Linked DNA regions of Caenorhabditis elegans. The protein of the gene in region 4 interacts with the protein of the main gene of each other region in a pairwise test. Each region holds a gene or a part of one and is shown on either strand. Other genes may lie near its edges.

What was found.
Region 1: the proteins of C52A11.3 (region 4) and tab-1 interact in a two-hybrid assay, tested with the Caenorhabditis elegans proteins (one large-scale study listed by BioGRID).
Region 2: the proteins of C52A11.3 (region 4) and mab-5 interact in a two-hybrid assay, tested with the Caenorhabditis elegans proteins (one large-scale study listed by BioGRID).
Region 3: the proteins of C52A11.3 (region 4) and sip-1 interact in a two-hybrid assay, tested with the Caenorhabditis elegans proteins (one large-scale study listed by BioGRID).

What each region holds. Positions count from the first base shown.
Region 1 is NC_003280.10:6,802,055-6,805,373, reverse strand, and holds tab-1 (Homeobox domain-containing protein), read right to left. Parts: upstream 1,674-3,319; 5' UTR 1,617-1,673; coding exon 1,497-1,616; intron 1,180-1,496; coding exon 947-1,179; intron 902-946; coding exon 827-901; intron 779-826; coding exon 613-778; 3' UTR 511-612; downstream 1-510. Other genes in the region: F31E8.5 (DUF4091 domain-containing protein), read left to right, coding at 42-173, 220-309.
Region 2 is NC_003281.10:7,777,448-7,785,432, reverse strand, and holds the start of mab-5 (Homeobox protein mab-5), read left to right. Parts: upstream 1-1,978; 5' UTR 1,979-2,044; coding exon 2,045-2,188; intron 2,189-2,457; coding exon 2,458-2,540; intron 2,541-3,225; coding exon 3,226-3,329; intron 3,330-6,893; coding exon 6,894-7,042; intron 7,043-7,985. UniProt on the Caenorhabditis elegans protein: Transcription factor that binds to the promoter region of the transcription factor lin-39 to repress its expression in Q neuroblasts and thereby direct left Q neuroblast (QL) daughter cell migration.
Region 3 is NC_003281.10:10,505,604-10,508,431, forward strand, and holds sip-1 (Stress-induced protein 1), read right to left. Parts: upstream 1,199-2,828; 5' UTR 1,105-1,198; coding exon 827-1,104; intron 771-826; coding exon 569-770; 3' UTR 503-568; downstream 1-502. Other genes in the region: urm-1 (Ubiquitin-related modifier 1 homolog), read left to right, coding at 15-229; sly-1 (Sec1 family domain-containing protein 1), read left to right, coding at 1,557-1,596, 1,651-1,712, 1,763-1,860, 1,912-2,125, 2,420-2,656.
Region 4 is NC_003280.10:10,735,363-10,739,183, forward strand, and holds C52A11.3 (PDZ domain-containing protein C52A11.3), read left to right. Parts: upstream 1-1,996; 5' UTR 1,997-2,039; coding exon 2,040-2,066; intron 2,067-2,221; coding exon 2,222-2,362; intron 2,363-2,406; coding exon 2,407-2,553; intron 2,554-2,722; coding exon 2,723-2,803; 3' UTR 2,804-3,266; downstream 3,267-3,821.

The DNA.
Region 1 (3,319 bases), 3.9 Mb from region 4:
TTTTAAAATCAAATATAAATCTTCAATTTCATAGTTTTTAGGTTGACATGGTGTTCGGAGAAATGCAAGGAAATCCAATCTATCAGGATCAATTCAAGCTTCCAGTTACAGAGAGCACATCATTCAATATTCATGTTATCAAGGCACCTGGTTGTGATATTGAAATGGATACGGTAACAAACGTTTTGTTTTATTCAAGCTTAACTTAAAAATCTTCAGCGTACTTTGTTGTGGAATGACTACAATGCTGCAGTTCCAACTAATATGTGGGAAATCGGAAAATGTACATTCAACTTCTTCGATGAATAAGTGTCCTATTGTATTATGATTTGGAATAAAATAATTTAACAACCATTTTTCAAAGTTTCGTTTTTTTGAGGACTGATGGGCAATTGGCAAATCAAAAAGTTCAAAATTGAATTATAAGATGTGAGATAAATATAATTAAAGTAATACCCCATGACTTATTCCTCATAATCATAAATATAAGTTGGTAATAAAATATCTGTTAGAAATTTGACTTTATTTGGACATGCAATAATATAATACATCAATATTCTTTAAATAAATATTCATAGAGAAAAGACAATCTACCGGTAAATATATATATACTTATTCGCTCTCATTATCATTTCCATTGTCGTCATCCACACTATTATCATCTTTTCTGACAACTTTCTTGTGCTTCATTCGTCGGTTTTGAAACCATGTTTTAACTTGAGTTTCACTCAAATTGAGAGCATTTGCCAATTCAATTCTCTCAGGAGTACTCAGATATCTGAAAGTCTGATTTAGAATACTAAACTCGGAATGCATTTTTGGTCACCTTTGGGATTCAAATCTTCGTTCCAATCCTTGTAGTTGCTGATCACTGAACACTGTTCTTGCTTTTCTTCGCGAACTGAAAACAGAAGAATAATTATATTTGATAAATTTCAATCATTACCATTCCAACCTCAATCTTCTATACGCTTTAGTTGCATTTGACAATCGAATCTGATCAGCTGTTGACCAGAATCCAGGAAAAACTCCATTTCGTTGAGCCAACAAGAGACTATGTTCTATTGGAAACGCTGCTGCTGCAAGCCAAAGCTGATCAGAAAGAGCAGGAGTGATTGTGGGAGTTAATTCATTTGTCAATGGAACTGACATTACGGATATCGATGATTTTTCTGATCCCTGGAAGTAAACCGATAGAGTAATTTTTGATGATCAAATTTACATATTTTATTGAAATATTACTTGTTGAATTTAAGTAATTGTGAAAGAACAAGCATCACATCAAGGAAACAAAATATTTTTTAATGAAGTTGCGACTTATTTTGAATCAATTTTAAAGAAATCATTGACCAAAGGCCAAAAAAAACGGAAAAATTATATTTAAATTCAATTTTGATAATTGAGCGAAATACATTCCTGATATGTTTGTTTAAATATTTGCAGAGTGCCTATGGTGACTACAAAACCCAAACGAGAAAAATAGTTTAAGAACATACCTCATCTGAACTTGATTGGGGAGTGGGCGATGTTTGATCAAGCTTCAGAATTCTTTGAATTTCGTTTGAATGCCCACGAAGAAGATCATCAATTGAAAAACTTGATACAGGAGTTATCATTTTCAAATAAGTTTGAAGATTATTTTACGGGAGGTAAGATTCTCGTGTAAATGAGCTAACACGGTAATATGGTGCTCCCATAGGAGCACAATGGGTGGAGCTTCAGACGGCATCGGAAGGGGGCGGAGTCGGCGAATAGAGATGAAGGTCCCGTGAAAGACGACAAGGAGAAGAAGAAAAAAGAGTTGATGAGAGGGATAATGATTGTGAATGACAGTATTGCCGTAGGCAATATTGTAGGCGGTTGATGAAAGAATAAACAACCACTTAAGTGACGATGAGCAAAATATGGAAATTGATTGTCTCGTAATGTTCAGTACTAGAATAAAATATTGAAACTAATCAGTTGTGTCATTTTCGATCAGTCGTGTATTATGATGACGTGTTCATTTTTTGTATATGGTCTGGAGTCTTCTTTTCTTGCCAGTTTTGATGATCTGGAATAGTATATCTAGCATATAGGTGAAATTAAAATTCCAATAAAAACAAAACGTAATTTACATAATGTTTTCAAACCTCAAATATCTCATCAAGAAATTGGAAAAGCTTAGCAATCAACTCAATTTCTGAAAATTTTCAAATGGTCTACAAAAGATTCTTGGCCAAATACTCTAGAAGTATTAACTTGATTGACAAAATAATTTTGATTTTGCAAACTCTTCAAATTCACTAACGATGTAAGTCTTGTACTTATTCTTAAAATTTTGTACTTATTCAGGCATGCCTACTACGCACCTTTCAGTACTTTTGTGGTAGACAAAGGCCACAGGCAGTGTTTGTGCCTACATGAAAAGCCTACTTACAGCCGTTTTCCACTTTTGGCACAATTCGACCTCTCATGCTCATCATCTCCCTCTAATTACGTGTTTATGTTACAATACAATGCGATTGAGCCAGTACAATAACAATAACAAGTGTGAACGTGTTGAGAGCGACACGCGTCTAGTAATAGTCATTGTGCAACTGAGCAATTTGAACCTTTCCACAGATGTTCACCACTTCCCCAACAACTTGTGCATTTTTTGTGCATATCACTGTACCCCTTCAAACGTTTTAAAGCTTGGAGAGAAAATAGGGAAAGACGACTGGCTGACCTGACTAAACGAAGAAATTGAGCATCGAGTAACGAAGACTATTATTGCATTATAGACGGCAGAAGCGCTAGAAGGCTTTTAACTTATTATGTTGAGTAGACATACTCACACAAACTTATTAGCAACAAGAGGAGTAAGACCTGCTGTGCAAAATATTGTTGCCACGTCATCAAATACAAGACAAAGAATATTAAGAAAAGTTCCTTCCGTTTACATGTCACACTTAATTATAACTGGCTCTATGGGTACTTTGAACATTTGACACCTCATGACTTGCTCTATTGTTTCTTGAGTCACCGCAAAAAGGTGTCCTGTGGTGAGCTCCAATGTAACATAGTTCCAGAAGAATTACTTCATCATCACTCCTCCCTCATACTCGTGGTGTTAATACAAAAACTTATGCATATGCAATACAGCAATTATTCCCAATTAGTTAGCGGATTTCACTACCGTAGAAGAAGTAGTCGTTGTATTGAAGCTTCTATTTCATCACAATTGGCATGCTGTTTTGTCGGTATATAGCTCATCATTGAAAACGCGCTCATTATTCTTACGAAAATCTGTGTGATTTTAGTGGAAAACAAGATTTGATGAGAAGATGTTTTGCAA
Region 2 (7,985 bases), on a different chromosome or scaffold from region 4:
AAAGTGTGTGTGAAAAAAAGTTGAAAGTGGTAACGAAGGTTTTAAAATTATATTTATGTACTCAAATCACAAATGACTCATTAAACGGTCGGAGTTAAGTTGTTATTTGATTTTCACTCTTTTTTGCATATTTTAATTATTTCTTTTGATTTTTCTATTAACTAGGTACATCTTCGGTAGATGGGTGCACAAATTTTTTAACTTTAATTTTTTCATTTCATGAAATTTTAATTTTCCGATAATTTTCCCATCTCCTCTTTTCACGACTAATCAATTTTTCAGATAGTGAAGGGCTATTATTATTCAACAGATACGTTTTTTAACGTTTTAATATTTTATCGGTTCTAGAAATTTTGATCCTTTTCATTTGATTCTTTTGATTACTTTGTTTCAAGAGTTCCAAATACATTGAACATACAAATGTCATTTTCTAACCTTTCTAATTTTCTGCAAGACTTCAATTTTTTCAAGTTCGGGACTTGAATAATACAGATATAGCATTTTGTTTTAAATTGTAGATTTAAATATATAATATCAAACAAATTTTTTAAAAAACCATATTAATTTTGAAAAAATGACAACTTCTAATCGAATTATTTTTTTAATTTATACTTTTGCTTAATTTCGTAAAATTTTTATTTTCATTCGAAAATTAAATGCCAGAACTCATTATTTGAATCATATTTTCCAATTTTCACAAATCTACAATAAGATGTCATCTCTGTAGGATAAGCCCTCTCAAATGCCATTGTAAATGACATCTAAACCAAATGCTAAATAGAAGCTCTTGACTTGGAATCTTAATAACTAAAATATTATGATTTCTACCATAAAATGCTACTCATCATTGCCTTCCCAGTCTTTTCATGCTCCTCCCAATTTCTCCGATTGGTTTCCCCATTTCCCGTCAACGCCCGGAGACTCCGCCCATTCACACGTTGTTCGCATCGACCAGTCGGCCGCCGGGGGGCCCCACCAATATTTCATCAGGCGCCCTCAACATATTTCAATTCTCCGATTGATTTCTCTTCTTTATATTCGAATATATATCTTAATTAATGCGTCAATGCCCCGTTTATTGGTTTTTAGTTACGGGACTCATTGGATACTTTATAATATTAGGTTCCAAAGAGAAACTGGAAGAGAGAGAGAAGGGCTTAATGTAATGGCATTAAAGATTGATAATGTGACAAATGATAAATTGATACGGTAATATGTAATGGACATTAGTCACTAAAAGATATTTATAGACCAAACCTCATGATTATCAAATAATGAGGAGTACTGTAGGGGTTTTGGAATGCTTATTTGGTTTAATGGAAGTCATTATTACCATTTTTATTGATAAACTTCTAGAGTGAAGGTAAAACAAAATAAATTTCATTAGACAATTTATTTCACTTTAAATATGCTCGATATTTCTTATCAAATGTCTAGCTTTAGAAATAAACATTTTATTTACTTGTAATTGTTTTTATTTTTAGTATTACTGACTTTGTCGAATATGTTGCTTTTAGAAAAAAACGTAATGTTAAAACATTCTGTATAGAAAATATTTCATAATATCAGAAATAGTTTAAATTGCAACTTTTGGTATTAAATAGTTATAGAATAAACGCTTTTAAATTGATCATTTGATAACTTTAAAACAATATTAATCAGTTGTTCACCATATATTATTTTTAACAGTTTTAAAAACTTGCCTTCTACAGCTTAATGTGTCATAATTAATTTTCATATTATTGTGCTTATTGATTTGAAAAATTATCTTATTTAGTGTTCACTGAGATGGGCTTTATACTTATGACGTTGAAACAAACCTGATATATTATTTCCTCAATTATTCAAGTTGTATTCTATATGGCACCATTTTTTCCTCCATCTTGCTCTCATTGCTCTTTCCATGCTCCTTCCGTGCTCCCTACTTTTTCTCTATCTTCCCATATTCTCACCCCTCAATTACCATTTCAATTTCAGAAATCCGCACCTTTTTGCCGTCTTCCATCACGCATCTACTCATCCCCTCAACTCAATCCGTCGGCAAATGAGCATGTATCCTGGATGGACAGGCGACGATTCGTACTGGGCGGGCGCCGGCACAACGGCTTCTTCTCAATCCGCATCATCCGGCACATCTGCTTCAGCATCGTCTAGTGCTGCCGCTGCTGCTGCTGCCAATAATTTGAAAGTGTGTGTTTCAGAGTTTAAATGAAAAATTTTAGGTTTTAGTTGAAATAAGTTCAAATATTTTGGGTCGAAAATTAATTACGGAAAATATGGGGAAAACCCTACAAAAATGAATTTCAATTTTTAAAATACTCTATAGTTTTCAAATTTTCCAGATTAAAAAATTAATAAAAAATTCATTTAAAAATATCAAGAAATATTCACCCTTGTTTTGAAAAACTTTGAAAGTATTTCGCAACGTCCCATTACTAAACTTCAAACTATTTTCAGACCTACGAACTCTACAATCACACCTACATGAACAATATGAAACATATGCTTGCTGCCGGTTGGATGGATAATTCATCAAATCCGTAAGTTTCTTGAAATAAAATTTTTGGAGCGAGAAAAAAATGTTGCGAAATAAAACAAAGTTTGCTGTAAAATTTTAAGATTTTTGCTAAGCGTTCCAGGTTTCACAACTTCCTTTTTAACATTGATTCAAAGAAAAATCAACAAGAAAATTTAAATTTCAGTTTTTGAAAGAAGTTCTCAGTCCGGTTTCCAAAAAATCAATAGTTTCATTGCAACAAAAACATTGAGTTCGTTTTTTTAAAATATGTCTTTCGGAAATGTTTAAAAGATTTCGGATTTCTTTAAAAAAATATGTTCACTCCAATTTTATTTACAAGCACTCTCTAATGCATTTGAATTTCAACATGAATATTTTATCTTTAATATTTTTCCATAATAAAAAAAAAGCAATTTTCGATCATCAAGCCTATAGCCATTTTCAAATGAAAACTCAATTGTTGTAAATTTCTCACAGGTTTTTCATTATCTTATTTTAATTAATGATTGAAGTTTTGAATAAGGGAACTTTGGCAGGATGCGTGCAGAAGAGCAACAAGGCAGGCAAAGGTCGCCTTGAAGACAGGAACAAAAACATATTAAAATGATGAATAAGAGTATTTGGAAATTCGAAATATTTTTTTTCCATATTCAAATAAGCGAATTAACTTACCACAAAATTTAGGATCCAACTTAAAATATTTTCAGATTCGCCTATAACCCACTTCAAGCAACATCTGCAAATTTTGGTGAAACTAGAACTTCAATGCCAGCAATCTCGCAACCAGTATTTCCATGGATGAAGATGGGCGGTTAGTTTACAGTTTCTCATTTTCACTTTTAAACTCGTATTTCCATTTTCACTATTTGATCTCATAAAAATGTCAAAACAAGACAAACATATGGGTCATTCTTCTACATTTTAATGTAATTTCGGATTGGTTGTTACTCGGTAATGACCGCCAAATAGGTGTGAAGATAGACATGCGCGCAAGAGGGGAGGTCCTAGAGAGAGGGGCACACTTTTTCGATTCTTATCTTCAGACTTTCATGGCGGTATAATATTAAAGAGAAAAAGAAGGAGAAAAACAAAAAATATGGCGACAAGTCGGTGTCTCTTTTGGATCCTTTTTCTCTAAATCGCGGCGGGAAAAGGACGGAATTTTTTGATTTATTTATGATACACGCTGGGTGGTTAACGGGGAAATGGTCATGAATAGGATAAAGTTTTATATTTTAATGGGTTTACAGTCAACACTGTTTGCCTAATGTTGCTAGTTATAAGTCTCAAGTTTTGGTAGTTTTTAGTTTTGAAAGTTCAAAGTTTCAGAAAAAAAAATCTACCGGCCTTTTAATATAAGTTTTGATTAACTTTTGGGTTATGAATTTTTCGAACAACTGCATGCAATATTCTATTTCCAATATTCCAAAACTCAGTCAAAATTTGAAACTTCAAAAACACTGCAGAAAACAATATCGATTTGAACTGTACAAAAATTTTAATGTCATTACCGGATTAGTGCATCTCATAAATGGTTGTTCAACTTTTTCCAGAACTTACTGACATGCCGTCCATTTTGATTTTACGTCTTAAATTTTATACTTTTTTTTAATTTTTGAAATATACAAAATACAATCTTTGGTGTCACAGTATAAATTCAATGCTCTTGTAATTATTTCCAAATTGATAATAGTTTGAAAAAATGTGTTTGATTTCATTCAGTTACTTTTAATTTCGATAATTTTTTCACAGTCAGTTCAAAACACGAGAGACAGGCTTCTCTGTTACATTTCTCTTTCTCTTCCTTCGGAGTTTTTTTCGTTCTCTTTCATTTTTTGACCGAAACCAGAGAAAAGCATGAGAAAAGAAGACGGAGAAAATGGAAGATACACGTAAATACGAGAGAATCTTTGTCTTGTTTCACTTTCTCTCTCTTTTACTCTCTCTGTCTTTCCCGAATCATTTATTTTCCTTGGTGCTTTGAAGTTTGCCGCCGTGCCAGAAAACCCACGAATTCGAGCCCTAAGCACAAGAGAAAGTGGGGGTCCGTATCGAAGTTGTAAATTGTCAATTGATTTATTCATTTTTGACCTCCTCCACAATCCGAACACAAGAACAAGTTGTACTAGGAACAACAACACCAACTTGTCAAAATGTTTGCGGTTCGTGTGCAGAGAGAGATGACCTGAGCATCGGATGTTTTATGACTTGATGCTGCAACAGCTGCTTCACAGGATGCTCCACGCAAAAGAGCAGAAACACGGGCGGTTTGTCATCACGTTCTTCTAATCCGATGATTTACGGTGGATATTCATTTGATATATAGCAGAGGGAAGAAGAAACGAAATTGACTGACAAGTTCAGACGACACCGGATTAGGAGGATCATACGGTGTAAAGTTGAGGCATCGTGTCTAAATTCCCTTCTGTCGTCTTATCAAAATATTATACGATAGACTGATAGAAATATGTTGCTTGGAATTTTCGCTTGTAAATTTTTAAAATGGAATTTTTCCCGTAATATTCAAAGTCAAAAAATATACATACCTGCACATCGCCTATTTTCTTCACTCATGAGCACCCCAAACGTTTAAGATAAGATAATAACGTTTTGACATGCTTTTTACAGTCGTACTCTTTGTTAAACCCATGCACCGTATTTTTCCTATTAGTCTGATACAATTTCTCAGAAAATTTCTTGTCTCTTTGTGTCAACTTTTCAATAGATTGTAAACAATCGATGATCATCTAGCTAAATTGTTGAAAAGATATATTGCGAACTTACAAAAAACTGATTTTCCGATTCAAATTTCATCTAAAATTCAGTATTTTATTGCACTAATCAAAATACATTGATTCTTAAACTGGAAACTTTGTCAAAAATTGACCATGAAGCTTCACCACATCACAAATTGCATGTAATTTTTCAAGATTATCAATATGTTACCATTTTCTTTTCAATGTCTTTTTCTTCTTCCGTTAGTCATTAATTTGCAATTAGTTTCTTTCGTTCATTCAGTTTTCCCCATTAACTTTTTTTGATTGATGCCCAGATTGGAGAAGTACAGTAATCCTCCCGTTTTTTCTCTCTGTGCCTCAAAACTTTCTAATCGAAACTGAAATCTAACAGAAAATAGAAGATTTCCCAAAAAATGAGAACAGGTTGAATCGAACAAGCGTTGTACTTCTGGGTGGTATTGTTTGTTGTTGAAGTTCAAATTATTATGAAAGGGAGTTTGAGCACGGATCTACCGTAATACAGTAGTTTTGATATGTCTTGTGTGTTTAGGGTTTTCCGGATAAAGAGGACAGATGGTTGAATTTCAATGAGGTATAGATGAACCAGGGTAGAAAAGAGTGAGTGTGTTGCAAAGAGAAAAATTGGAAATTGAAAAGTGAGAGAGAGTGTGAGCAGACATAGAGAGCGGACTACGGTAGTTTGAAAATACTAACCTATTGATTATTATGGTTTTGAAACATTTTTCTAATATTAGAGTAATTACAACTTGGTCAGCCGTTATTTTATCCATATCTTTTATCCAATAAAAACAAGAATTTATCCAAGAAAATATACCTAAATATAAAAACTCATTGCACTTTTTTTAAGAGCAATTGCATTTTTGTGTAGGTGTATATATGTTTCCGGTAGCTGGTTTAAAAATGTTAACTTCGAACCTTTGTTGTTTCTGCAAACTATATCTCGCGGGCCCCAATTAATGTTATTCCTTTTTATTCTCGTAACATTGTCGCAACTTTATACCTAAAAACCTTCCTTCACTGTATGCCGATAATTCTTATTATCTTAGTGTCTACTGTTTAAAATTAAAAATTCAAGGATCGTAATGGAAAAGTGGGAGAGAAAAAATGTCTAACTATATATAATATAAAACTGATTACTTGATAGTCCTTGAAAAATTTATATTCCATATTATACACAGTAATAGCTATTACCTTCAGCGAGTTTGTGATAATTTTCATTCTCCCTGTTGAAACATTTTATTAGAACATAAAGTTCCGCGAATTAAGCTTTCTCGATCATTACGCCATCGTTGTTAATTTATTAATTGTTTGGATATCATTTGGAAAGTGTGATGATCGAGAAATAGACCGCCCGGAACAGCAACTGTTATGAAGTCGGTGCGACGATAAGACAAAGAGAATTCGCGGCAATAATGAAATACGACATGGCTGGGGAACAACAACTGACCACGACCAATCAAATTGCGTCAGGGGTGGGATAGGATTACTGTATTTGATGGGGAAGGTTTATTTCTTAATTATTATTATTTGTTGACAGCTTTCGTTCTTAGGTGTTAATGGATTTGTAACCATGTAATCTTGAGACAGTTAGCATTTTTCAATTTATAATATTTCAGGTGCAAAAGGTGGAGAATCAAAACGCACTCGTCAGACATATTCAAGAAGTCAAACATTGGAATTAGAAAAGGAATTTCATTATCACAAATACTTGACTAGGAAACGTCGGCAAGAAATTTCAGAAACATTGCATTTGACTGAAAGACAAGTAAGTCTCACTACCAGATTTCACAGAAGTTATTTTAGGAAAATAATTTTGTATATTTTCTTGGCAATTACTCAATTTTCATAATTTTGGAAGAAAACCAAAAAATGTATTCGATTAAAAAAAATCTATTTGTATTTAAGCATTGTTGGGCATCACTTTCAAACAATTTTCTAACTTCTCGAAAAATCAATATTGTCACAAATTTGGCAATTTACCAAAACCAAAGACTAAACATTTTGGAAAAAATCAACACCAATTTAAAGTTACTCATTTTAAATTTCAGTATTTTGAACTAATGTTTTGTATAATTTGGAAAACCCACGCAACTCTAAATTTTAGTTTATATGGCAATAAACAAAATAACAACAGTTGTACCAAAATTTCTTGGTCAGACTTCTGAACACATTTTAGAACAATTATAGTATTTTTTTATTTTTCATACACTCAAAATATTGACAAAAAGTTTGTTCACTTCTAGTCTTTTCCAAAAGAAAATTCCAAAATTTTTTTGAGGTGGCTCGAATTTTTTCAAGCCTAAATTATCATAAGAACGTGTAATAACTACCGACAGATTTAATGCATAATGAATGATGATTTATTTTAAACAAGAATAGGGAATTATTCTTCAATTTTTTAAAATAATTTTTCTATTAAAAAGTTTTAATGGTTTTTTCGAAAATTCTTATTGCAAACACAATTTTAAAACCAAAAATTGTAGTTTCTTACTGATAATCTAGATAACAAAAAAGCAAAGTAGAATAATCACGTGGAGTCAAAAAGTCCCATTTTGCTTTGATCTTCGAAAAAATGCGGGAGAAGTGACGCAGACATCTGATCTGATTTCGCATGGTTAAGACTGTGCTGACGTCACAATTTTTCTGGGAAAATATTCCCGCATTTTTCGTAGATCAAACCGCAATGAGACAGCCTGACACCACGTGAA
Region 3 (2,828 bases), on a different chromosome or scaffold from region 4:
GATTTTTATTTCAGACTCTACACTCCGAGACGTGCTGAAATTTGTCCGGGACAACCTCGTCACGGATGTTCACCGGATAAATATGTTGCTCAACGATGACGCCAGCGAAGTTGCTCACGGAGTGATTACCCTTATCAATGACACGGATACCGGATTGCTGTTAGAATACGATACGGTTATTGAGGCAGGGGATACGATTACTTTTGTCTCGACGCTTCATGGTGGATGAACTCGGATTTTTGCTAATTGTTTTGTTTTTAAGCTGTTTTTTAAGTTGATAATGAATTTGAAATGTATCACTTCGAAATTAGTTAACAGAGCAGGTATCTTCAACGGACGAAGGTTGCTGAAACTTTCGACGAGCGGAACTTTCAAGGGGACTCATCTTAATCGAAGAAGAAAAAACGCTTCACAGAACGACAGTTTCTAGGCATTTCCAGAAAGATGGAAGAACTTTCGAAACCGAAGACTCCCCCCTGTACCCAAAACAAAAGAAAAACACTTTTTTTCTCATTTTACAGCTTTATTTTTGTCCTGGCAGTATGTAATCTAGAAAGTTGGGGGCAATTTAGTGCTTTCCGGTGGTGGTGGTGCTGGATGGCTTCTGGGTGACAGCGTGTCCAGCAGAAGTGTGGATTGGAAGAGCACGAACGGTGGTGTTGGAGCCGGTCTTTGGAGCATCGATGGTCATCTGTCCTTCCTTGTTGATGACGGTGTGGATGTGAGCCAAGTCGACGTCCTTTGGAAGAGTGAACTGGCGAGTGAACGATCTGAAAATTTTTAATTAATTTTAATTCCAATAAATGAAAAATAAAATAAAACCAACCTCTTGCTGAACCCGTGCTCGGTCTTGACCTCGTGGTGTCCCTCAATGGTGAGAACGTGTCCCTCAAGATTGACCTTCAACTCTTCCGGCTTGAACGCGGCGACGTCGAGCTTGACACAGAACTTCTGGGCGGTGTTCTCGACCTCGTTGAGCTGTTGTGGCACGATGTTGTTGAAGTTGTTGAGCATGCTGTGACGCTGAGCCCAGTATGGCATCATGTCCTCGAAGTCGCGGAAGAGTCCGGTTGGACGGCCAGTGTATGGGCAGAGAGAAGACATAGTTGAGTGAATAGGGTTAAGAATGAGGTGAAAAACGATGAACGTCTGAGGAAAATGGCAAAATCCGCGCCTTTTATACCCAATTTTTGTTTGTTGTTTGTTGTTGTTTACTTGTTTACATTTTTGTTGTTGTTTCGATGATCAGTGAGAGATCAAAATGTAGGTCAAACATTATATTTTACGAGAAATTGCGTATTTTAATAAAAATTATTTATTTTTTATCAGAATTTTGCATTTTTTTTTCTCTAAAATCTTTCTCTGAAAATTAAATTTTTCACACAATTCTGTTTTAAAATTCCGCTTTTCTTTTAAAAAAATGCATTGCACGCAAAATGCGCCAGTGTACACCGTTTGACACGCTTCTCGTCTTCTATTCTACGTGGCCGTAAATCTACACAGATTTTATCAGATAATTTTCCAGGGTTTTAAAAAATATTTTAACGAACAAAATTATGCCGGCGGAGCTGGAAAGCGTTCGAACGCGACAAATAGGTGAGAATTCATGCTTGATATGAATAAAATATAAATAAATCTCCATATTTTCAGTCGCTTTACGGACGATGATCAATTTGAATGAGCCCGTAGTCAATTCTGGAGTCAGAGAACCGGTAGGCCGATTTAAAATACCTGAAAAATCAAATTTATTGTGTGAATTTAGGTATGGAAAGTATTGGTGCTCGACAGAACCGGACAGGATATAATTTCGCCGCTTCTCCCAGTCAAACAGCTCAGAGAACTCGGAGTTACCCTTCATTTGTGCGATTTTAGCTAAAAAACTGCGCAGAAATTCAATTTTTCATATTGCAGATTGATCGGAGCCCGCCGTGAGCCGCTAACCGACGTTCCAGCTGTGTACTTCGTGTCGCCAAACGATGAGAATATTGATTTGATGAGTGAAGATCTCAAAAAAGCCATGTACGACTCGTTCTATTGCAATTTCATCTCCCCGTTGGCTCGTCCTCGTCTCGAATCGCTCGCTTCAGCTGCAGTACACGGGGGAGCAGTTTCACAAGTTCAAAAAGTGCGATAAAGAATTAAAAAATATATTTAATTCAGCATTAACTAGTCGAAAACCTTCTACATTCTTCATAACTTGTGCTGCAAAAACCATTATAAATCTCAAAATTGTGGTTTTTTTTCGGATTTTTTCTTGCAAAAAGTACAGAATTTTGAAAATTATCAACCTTTTTTCTTGATTCTAACAAAGTTTGTCGTAAAAACACTTATAAAATTGAATTTTGCACTAGTTTTTCAGCAAAAATAACTTTTTATTTCAAAAAAAAATTAGATTTTCCGACATTTTCAAAATTTCCAGGTAGTGGATCAATATCTCAACTTCATTTCCCTGGAAGATGATCTCTTTGTGCTCCGTCGTTACAGTGAAAATAGTACATTCTCATATCACGCAATGAATTCACCCGGAACATCCGATGTCGCCGTGAATGCGATGCTTGATTCCATTGCCGACGGACTTTTTGCAGTTTGTGCCACTATGGGAATTGTTCCGATTATTAGATGTCCGAAGGGAAATGCTGCTGAAATGGTGGCAAAAGTACGGTTATTATACTCAAAATGGCTCGAAAGTAGCGGATATTATAACAAAAATTCGGAGAAAATCGCTTGGTTTTCGCTAAAATTTCCAATTATGCCAATTTTTCGGTGCTGTGGCGTCTGGAAATTGATTTTTAATTGATTATTGGCATATTGTGCACGTTTTTTCGTTT
Region 4 (3,821 bases):
AAGGGAGATTCTAAAGTACTGCCAAGAAGTTGCGAATTTCACTATTCGTTTTTTTTTGAATTTATCAGGGTACTGTATAAAACTGTCAGAAGCTTTTAGACGATAAATTTTGGTAAGAAGTTGCAAAAGTAGTTGCAACCAAATATTGAGATAAACCCGAGTCGGCATCACTTTTGTAAGTTTATGACATTACTCATCCACATTCTTTCTGATAGTAACTGGGAAACTTTTAAGAAATTATTTACAGGATATTTTCTACTTATTTGAAATGAAAATTCGTGACTTTTGCGCTAACCAGACCTGGTCTGGGAGAACCGATTTTTCTAAAACCATCCTATCTGAATTATGACAAATATAATTGCTCTACCAGAACCCCAGTTTATACTTTATTCAAACTTAATTTATACTTATCAATTGGCATTTTCGCCGATTCAATTTCAAACAAGTTTGGCTAAAAGAGAGCAAGATGACAGAAGTATGTGAGTTTGATGTGGGCAGAGGAACAGGTGATTTTTTGAAAAAAGAGGAAAGATGGAAATAGAAAATGCCGTACGAAAAAAGTTAATTCACATTCTTCGTTTTTCGGAAATCCAAAACCTGAATTACATTCACACGGAGGCTCGTTTCTTTCGGTGTCTTCTGCTTCTGACAACACAGAGTCTCCTTGACAACGATTCGTGGCTCAAATGGAGTGAGAATTCGAAGAAAAGGTAGTAGAAGGGAATAGAAAGAGGAAAGGGATTCAGAAAAAATTGTTCGAAGAATTGTTCTGTCTTAAATTAACGGGGGAAAACAGGATCTGTTTACACGCTACAATGAGAAGTTTTGTAGAATTATGTACATTCTGAAAGCAATAGAAATACAATTTTGAAATCAAGTGCTCGTGAAAAAGGAATATTCCAGATTAAATACAAATACAAAAATAAAAATCTAAAGTATTCAAGTCAGGGAATTTTCGTACAAAACATGACAGTCCAATTTTTTCCTGGGAAGGAATAACAACATTTAAAGAGCGAATTGAAAATGAGAAAAATAATTGAAATTTTTTAGAAAAAGACTTTAAAAAAAGTGTGGTGCGTCAGAAAATCTTCAGATCAATTTCCCAAAAACCGAACTTAGGTACAAGAAAAAGCTAGAAAAAAAGGGTTAAAATTCAGCTATGTGCAATTTTTTTTTGAATTTTGGCAACTTTCAAAATTATCATACATTTTTTAAAAAGGAGTCAAATTTATATTTTGTGAAAAATTCGATTTTTTGCCGAATAAAAATTCTGAATGATTTTTTTTCCATGACACATCTAGTTTCAAACAATGTTAGCTTGTCTGATCTTCTTTTTTGAAATGAGACATATTTTTACGCATGTTAACCTCGAAATTATTAAAACTTTAAAAAAAGGAGCGGAAATGATTTTTCAAACTCCGCACAAGGTAAGATATAAGGCACAAACCAGTCGGAACTACAAAATTAACAAATTTTATATGGAAGAAAATTTTAACTTTTTGTTTTTATTTTTAACGTTTGACAGATAATATTTGCGAAAATCTGGTTAGAACAGAATTTTGGTAGCAGCTGACATTTTCTTAGATTATATTTCACTAATTTTAAATATATATTTGCAATTATTTACTGATTGTGAGAACTTTCAAGTTGATTTAGAACAAGTAAAAAAAATTAAGAACTTCTAGACTGTAGGCATGCAAGTTTTTTAACGTCATTCTTACTCATCTCAGTTTGGAAACCCCTTCTCTGATCATACTAAATAATTTATTTGAGATTGTTAGCAACAAAAAAGTCCCTAAAGTGATGACTATTGTGATTCATAATTATATAAATGTTCAATATATCACGCGTTACCCTATGATCTCATGAAAATGATCAGAGGGTAAATATGATTTATTCAAAAACAATGAAATATAATGTTAATTGGAGAGGTAAAGTTTGAGCCGGGAAGGTATAAATATAAAGTTGAGAGTAATCATTTTCTGATGAAAGATTTTTACTATCAGTTTGGACCATAACTTTCTACGGATTCCAGAACAATGCGACGAATCACTTGCTGCTTTCCGGTAATTAATCGTTTTGTGGAAAAATAATTATTGAACATTAGGATTATTATTCAAAAATACTGCCCCTTTGCTTGACAATTTTTGAAACAATTTTCAAGTATAAAACATATAAAACATCCTAAAGAGCTTATGAAACATATTTAATAATACTACAGATAAAAATTCACCGAAGACAACCACCTAGTCCACCATCAACTATCACATTGAGCAGTTATGAGTACAGTTCACTCGCTGTCGGAATCATTTCCGATTTGAAAGAAGAGGGTTGTGATACATTACTTGTCAAGCTTCAGAAGGTTTTCATCAACACTTCCATTATACTTTCATAGATTTTTCTCAGGATGCCAATCGGAAAATCGGAATGGGAGTCGGGGTAAGAGATCGTGGAATCCTCATAACCACTGTAGTACCTGGATCGGTTGCCGCTGAGAAATTGAAAGTTGGAGATCGTATTTTGGCGGTCAATGGACGTCCAATTTTGGATCAGGTAAGAATGATACAACAAATAGGAGACACAATAAAATTATCCAAAAACTGACTGAAATTGAAAAAATTTTCTAAGGGGGAAATTTGTGCAAGATGCGAGCAAGACTAACTAGTTTATATTTATAACAAACATTTAGATATCCGATATCTATATTTGTCACTTACTTCAGCGCTCGGTGGTGAAATCGGTCAAAGCATCTGGTCAACGACTGTATCTTCAAATCGCCCGTCCTCACAAGGTACATAAATAATGGTCCCTATATTTTAATTATTGCGCTACGAACAGTTTCTTTTTATCTTCTAATTATTTGAAATCGTATATTTCTTCCCAAAAATTATTTTCCAAAAGGCTAATTTCAGCAAAAAGCCTCAACCAACCTCATCAACTTTTTTTGGCATTACCAAAGTTTCTAAAATTTGTTGAAGTTTGCTGCAAGAAATTGATAAGATACAATAATTATTTCCCCAACGAACCCTTTATCTGTACCAAAATTCAAATCTCGCATTGTAACGGAATGCACTTACTTACTGTTGTAGATTTTATCCGTCAAAAAATCTATTTTGCTAGCAATTTCACCTCCTCACACACGCTATAACATTTTTTTTCCTGACTAACCTCAACAGTTTTATTGTAACGATCTTAAAAAATTATTGAACTTCCTGGTGGGAGGTTACTCGACTAATTGGAATATTTATGAAATATTAAAAAAAAACAATAAACACAAGAAAAACAGTTTATTATATACTATTCATGCGTGGGAAATTATCCAAAAATAAAACAATGAAAGATCCAAAATAAGGACTAAAAGATAGAACACTAAACTTAAGGAAATAATATCACCGCATACTTTGCAAATGGGTGTAAAACGACTAGATATTCAGCATGTTTGGAACGAATTGAATAGTTTTCAAAAAAAAAAACGGTAAAACTTCAAAAAGAAAAACATTTCAAAAAAGTACCCTGCAGAGTTTGACAGAAGAGGCGAGACATAATTGACTGCCTACAAAATGCATAAAATTGCTCGCCTATATTTCAAAAAAAAAAATTCAAAAAAAATTAAGAAAAAAATATGGAAACCTGAGTTGTGTTGAAAGTTGGGGGAGAGGATTCGAATCAAGAAAAAAACAAGGAAATAATTTTAAGGGGGAAGCGGTACGAATAACATTGAGCACTTTTGAAGGTAGGAATGCTAGAATATTATTAGAAGTTCGTCAGAAAATGAACGACGAATATGAAGGGAAAGAGTGTAAAACCCGGAAATCGAAACG